Linked DNA regions of Sus scrofa. Each later gene encodes a partner of the first gene's protein in a complex. Links are inferred from orthologs where the notes say so. Each region holds a gene or a part of one and is shown on either strand. Other genes may lie near its edges.

Region 1 (2,934 bases):
GAATATGTACTATTCTTTAAATATTAAAGATGGTTTACTATCCAAAAATACCAACAGAAAATAATTTTAAATATTTTCTTCTTTTATGAAGTGTTATCTGAAGATGAACAAAATGTTAACTATGCTAACTTCATTATTTTAAGCTGGTACTTTCACTCCATTTTGTTACACATTATCAATCCAATAGCTGTTCATTTTTTAAAAATGAAGGCACTATTGAAAATGTGTAAGTAGTTACTTTATCTTTTTTAAAAATTACCTTCTTTTTGTAATTCTTCACCTTGGTTGTGGGAAACTGTCCATATTGTTTACTCTTGTTCCTGGGGACTCTATACATGTTTATCCTCTATATAAGCTTTTATGGGAAATTCTAGTTTATTTTCTTTAGTTTCATATGCATTTTTTATTTATAAGAAAACCCCAAATTTAAAGAGCACAGGAACTCTGAAAGCTTGTTTTAGAAACTGTCTGTAAAAAGTTTTGCTCTTTAGTGTCTATTACAAAAAAAAAGTAAAATTTAAGAAATCAAAGAAGCATGAGGGTGAGATAAATTGATGTTTTTAACCAAGTGCACTGGGTGGGGGGTAGTTTCTGGCTAGCTCGTATGAACGTGTAAAATGTGTTTTTAATGACTGTGGAAGACCTCTGAGAAATAAATTGGGGTGTAGCTTAAGAAGGTAATTAAAATTCACTTTTCACGATTAGCTAGGTTTATGTTTTATATCTCTCCATCAATCACGAAGCCTTGTTTATTAAGTCTGAAAATATATAAAAGACAAAAGAAATACAAGGACAAATCAATACTCATGGACAGGAAATGAGAAGAATATTTTTATTGTATTATTAAATACCATCTTTTTTTCCACTGTTACAAATTTGTAGATACTACATGAATGATGATACATAATTTATATTTTATAGTTTGCAGTATGATGTATTTACACATGCAGTTAGTATCAATGTCATGCTACATTTCCTTAGGAGATGCCTGTTCAAAACAAAATGTGAGCAGCTTATCTACTGTAGGAAAATACTTCTGGTGGGTGGAATGTATACCAACCTGTGACTGCAAATTCAGTATTAACAACATCAGATTAATTTAGACTCCTGGGTTATGTTCTTTTTTTTTTTTTTTAAAGTACTACACATAATTTAAGCCACAGACTTTATATCAGAAAGTCTTCTTTTGCCCCACCCCCAATTCCTCCCTTTTTGATACTTAAGGAAGAACACAGATACACCAGGATCCAGCAGCCAATAATAAGGGGCCACAATCTCAAAACAGAAATGGCATTTAACAGTGATACCATTTAAAAAGCAGAACATTAGAAAAATATTTGGAAGCTAAACATGAATCAAAGTTCAGCACAGTGATTTTTCTGATTATTAGATGTGTCATGGCATTGCCTGCACAGCCAAGAAATGAGATATTGGTTCGGGAAGAAAAAGTTAATGCTAAAATTATTTCAGCTGGAATTCGAGATGCTTCAAAAAACCATTTAAGTGTTTTATTTTCGTAACATAAATAATCCATACACATCCTGTGTATTAACAGATCTGTAACCTTTGCTATAACTTTACAAATGTTTAAATTTAAAGATGCACATTTATAAAAAATTATATATTTACTGAGCCATAAAGTTGCAATGGGGCAAGATAAATAAAATAATGAGACTATCTGGCCAGTTATATTTTGGCTCAAAGTTAATTATAAAATTAAAACTACTTAGACATAATTATCTAGGGAAGGAAAAGGGTGCAGAATAAAATTCCACCCCTCTCCCCCTTATGGCAGCTTGGAGTGTGTGTGTGGGAAAAACAACTGAATAAACAATCCAAATCTAAAATATTAAGTTACAAATTATTTAAATCCAGTGTTTTCTAAAATAAATGTTCAGGAAGGAACATGCATGTTATGGCAAACACGAAGCTGGAAAGGGTTAATGCTGTGTGCATGCTAAGGTGGCTACTGCTGGCCACTGCTGGGCTGCTGTCTCCTTAGGATTTATTGGCTGAACCAGAGGAACGACGCAGCTTCATGGACATGCGGCTTTTGCTAGTTCGAGGAGACATTGGAGAGGCCAGGTCAGCCCCATCTACCTGCGTTGCTGTGGGAGTTTCACTGGGTAGAATCTCTGGGTAGGAGCCTGTGGGAAATAGCAAGAGCATCAATACAAGTCATCCAGTCTCTCCTCCCATAAGAAACAACCTTTGTGCTACACAGATGCAGCAAGGGTCCAACCCTTAACGAGGTCTTTTGAGAGGAAAGAGCAATCCCCAAACTTGCTTGTTAAAACAGTCTACTAATATTTTATTTAAAACCCAGTGCTCTGGTGGCTCATGTCATCAGATTAGCAAGAAACCACCAAACATTATTTCCAGAGCCAGCTCCTTGGAAAAAGCAACGGGAAGCAAAATCTTTGGGACAGAAAGGACAGGGATCCAAAGTACCATCAGCATGCGTGGAAGGGCTTAAGAAGCAGGTGAAAAGGACCAATTCCTATCTCTCGGGTTTAGGGTATCATCAAGAAAAAGGCCTTCATTGTTCCAACTTGAAAATAAAACAGCATCGAACATTTTCAAAAAGGAACTTAACGGTATGAGACCATTATACATGCTAAGTATTTAAATTTATGCTTTTAAGAAGGAGCAAGATAAATTCCCGGGGGGAGGGAGGAGGACAAGAACTCTCTTCCGAAAGTCAGTCGAAAAAGACAAACTGACCTCTCAAAGTGTCTCAATTCAGAAGCAATAGGCAATGCTTTCGTTTTCTTAACTTTAGTAGATATAAAAATTTTAAAGAAGCAAAACGAGTTCAAATTGGAAAATTCTTCACGTCATTTACATAGCTCTTCCCCTATGTACTTTATTTCTATGAGTTATGATTCTCTACAGCAATACTACAGAACTTTGCACATTGTAGGTTCTCAAATA
Region 2 (3,830 bases), on another chromosome or scaffold:
GAGCACAGTGCCTGACACAAAGTAGGAACTTAATAAATATTTGTTGATAAATATCCCACAGGCACCTCAAATTCAATAGGCTCAATACTAAGTTCATCCTTGGCCCCCTCACAAATCTGTTGTTTTGGTTGATCATACTACCAACCATCCAGTTGTATGGGCCAGATGGAAGGCTCATGGTCACAGCCCTCTCCCTTACAGCTATTGATACTGTTTGGAGTATAGTCCCAATCCATCGTCTCCCTCCTAAGAAATGTGCCCCCACCATAAGGGATGCCAGTATCCAATATGACCCGGCTTCACAGCAGCAGCTGATTAGACCAGAGGTAGACAGCTGATTAATCAGATCTCTTTCCCAGGAATCTGAAATTAGGATTCAGAATGCTAAAATTGGCCCTGCTGGTCACCTATACCAAGGCCATGGAAATTAGGAACTTAGAAGCATGTTGCAATGTAAGAAAGTGGTCTGCAGATAAGAGAAAATGAAGCAGTTCTGGGAGGCCATGATGACAGAGAAACAGAAAAGAAGAAAGTTGTTTTGGTCCTTGAACATTTTCTAGCCCCTGGTTTCTGCCCTTCATGAAAACTTGCTGCATGTCCTGACTTTAGAGGGTCACAGACACTTGAATGTTTTGATTGACATTAGCATCACTTTAGCAGCTGTGTGAATGATCCGTTGAGAAAGGCAAAACAGAGGCAAGGAAAACAGGAGGCCACTACAAGTTAATTTAGGGAAAACGTGACAAGGCCTGAAGTGTCATGGTGGGGACAGAGTGGAGAGATTATAAAGAGGGTTAAGTAGCAGAGTTGGCTGACCAACTAAAGATACAGAGGGAGACTAGAGAAGCCTAAAATGATTCCTAGTTTCTGGCATAAGCAACTTAATGAATGGCAGAGCCATTCAAAAAGATTGAAGTCACAGATTTGGATAGATGACCCTACCCAACTTGCTACCATAGTCTAAACACCAGTCAACTTCTCTAAGTCCAACACAATCATCCAATCCTCTGTAACTCTTTTCTGAATCCCCAGGGGAAACGTATGCTGCTTCTTCCTGTGCCTCTCTCCTACCAACTTCCTATTGCTCTTGGATCAGTGTTACCTGGGTACACGGCTTTACTCACTTGAAAAAATAAGCATTCTGGACCATCCATATTGTCTAATACTGTGGTAAAAATGTATTAAAAATTTAGTGTGGCCCTTCCAAATCTCTTCATAATTAATAAAAGTCAAATAAGATGAAATAAATAATTCTCCTAAAATAAAAAGGTTGTTAAGGGTCTTCAACAAATCTCATTAGGTAAAAAAGGAAGAATTCAAGCAAAAATGTCGATTACTTACATACATTTGCAGGTATTTCAAACCAACATTTTACTTATCAATTCAGCCTACTACTTCAGCCATGCTACAATAGGGTTTCACTATCACAACTATATAAATGGAAAAATAAACAAACAAACAAAAAAAACTAAGACCTGGATAAATAAGCTGGCAGAATCTCTTCTCCAGTCTTCTTGCTACAAAAAATCCTACACAGTGTCCCACAAGCCTCAGCTCTTCCTGCTTCATAGTTATCAGGAAATTCACTTGCATCAAACATGGGATTGGAAACCATGGTGTCTGTGGACATTTGTGACCCTTTTCGTCGAAACTCCATGCTAGCTTGTGTTGTAATGGCTGGGGAGAAAAAAGGAGGAGTTTTATTATATTTGTTGATATGCAAATAGGCTCATGGGACCCTGGACACAAAGATCAAATGTTGATGTCATTTAATAGCTACTTGAATAGAATCCAATAATGCTTTTGTTCAGCAACTATGTCTTTAATTTTTTTTTTTTAAAAAAGGGCTCTCTGAAATCTACCTTGAAAAGGGGTAACAATTTACAGTGGTATTGTCAGTTTAATAGATTCTACAAGAAGCATTTTTCAACTGAATTTTTGATTGAGTACATTTGCATATATCTGTATTCCTATACATACAGATATATAACACAGAATTTGGCTTTTCTATTTTTTATTCTCAGGTTTTTTTCCTCTCCCTATTAAACAATAAGAAAAACAGCTACTGCAATTTACACATTACCCCAGACATTGCAACTGAATGGGCAATTCCATGCCAGGTTGTAAACTTCAGGGAGAGGGCAAGGTAAGGATAAGAAATGGGTAGGGAGGAAGAGAGAACATTCCCACCACCCACCCAACTCCAAAACACACACCAAAGAATCGCCCAACCAAGCAAAATGAGAATGAATTTTAACAACCACAGACAGCAGCTAACTTGAGGTTGATAAATCAGAAAACTGGATTGGTAAGAAATATTTCGCTGTCACTGAAACAGAAGCCCTTCGAAAGTTGCTTTTATTTTTAACAAAAGATTTCACAGTGAATTGAAAATCACTCTGAAATCTTTTATCACTCTACATGAAATGTTTAAATTATTTTGTAATATTAGATTTAACAGAATGCAGAGTCAAGCATAAATCTTTATGCAACTTCCCATGAGCCATTTTTAGCCCTGAATAAAAGCTATCCAGCAATAATACAATTGAAAAACACTACATGCAGAATGCATACAAATCAAACACTAAATCTGTATAAAAATAAGCTTAAAGCTTTAAATTAAAAAAAAAAAAAAAAAAGCCAAAACACAGTTAGTGCAAAATCCTGGAATTCATGACATGACCAGACTAGTGTACAAAAATAATGGGACTGATTCAGGCAGATTAATTTGCTTTTGCCAACAATCTTCCCCATTCAAAACACAGAATATTTCTCTTCCCAAGTGCAAAAACTACAAGAGACAATGACAATCAAAATTTTTAATGGAATTATGAAAAAAATAAAAACATGACTGCAATTAAGGAGAAGCTTCTGGTTCCTACTTACAAGATTTATAAGAAAGAAGAATTTGGATAAAAGATGCTGCAAGATAATAGAAATAAATGGAAACAAATCAAAGGACAGCAGTAATTATAAAATACTTTAAAGATGGTGAAATTTTACAATACGTTAAGAAGCTTTTTAGCTTTTTAAAAGTTAAATTAAAAGCTTTATGATACCACAAGCTAGTTCAAAAACAGGAAATTGTGCATTCAGATCCAAAATTATGATTTTTGTATCATGCAAAACAATGAACAAAGAAAATTACACAACTACAAAGAATTGAGGTTTTGAAGTGCCCAGAACGTGCATTAAAATTTTAGTTCATTAACCCTTCCCAGCTCAATGTTACACTTACAAAGCATAGTGTACTGTTATATAAATCTAAAGCTAACCAGTTCAGAGAAGCAAACATTTTAAGTTAGAGGTGAACTACATGGCAGAATTCCTTGATGGCAGCCAGTACTTAGAAAACAGACTAGGAGTTCCCGTCATGGCTCAGCAGGACTAGCATCCATGAGGACTCGGGTTCGATCCCTGGCCTTGCTCAGTGGGTTGTTGATCCACTGTGGCTGTGGCTGTGGCGTAGGTCGCAGACTCGGCTTGGATCCCACGTTGCTGTGACTCTGGAGTAGGCCGGAGGCTACAGCTCCAATTTAACCCCTAGCCTGGGATCTCCATATGCCATGAGGGCAGCCCTAAAAAGACAAAAAGACAAAACAAAACCAAAAAAAAAAAACAAAAACAAAAAAAACCAGACTAACAGAGTTAGTATTCTCAAACTTCTCACCATCCCAAGCCCTCTAGAGTGGCACCCACAGCACTCCAACTCAGTCAAATACCCTCACGCCTCCTACCTCCTGGGTAACATAACAGCCCTTCTCATCTCTGAACAAAAGGCAGGGAAAGAAGAAGAGTTTCTATATTTTCCCCACCAAGGAAAATTTAAG

The links.
Region 2: RALGAPA1 (region 1) and RALGAPB share a complex: the UniProt entries of both Homo sapiens proteins name them as parts of the heterodimeric RalGAP1 complex. The link is inferred for Sus scrofa from reciprocal best matches to the Homo sapiens genes RALGAPA1 and RALGAPB.

Annotation. Positions count from the first base shown.
Region 1 is NC_010449.5:64,370,571-64,373,504, reverse strand, and holds the end of RALGAPA1 (ral GTPase-activating protein subunit alpha-1), read right to left. Parts: exon of another isoform or gene 2,148-2,934; coding exon 1,999-2,147; 3' UTR 822-1,998; downstream 1-821. UniProt on the Homo sapiens protein: Catalytic subunit of the heterodimeric RalGAP1 complex which acts as a GTPase activator for the Ras-like small GTPases RALA and RALB.
Region 2 is NC_010459.5:41,548,988-41,552,817, reverse strand, and holds part of RALGAPB (ral GTPase-activating protein subunit beta), read right to left. Parts: intron 2,923-3,830; coding exon 2,887-2,922; intron 1,678-2,886; coding exon 1,476-1,677; intron 1-1,475. UniProt on the Homo sapiens protein: Non-catalytic subunit of the heterodimeric RalGAP1 and RalGAP2 complexes which act as GTPase activators for the Ras-like small GTPases RALA and RALB.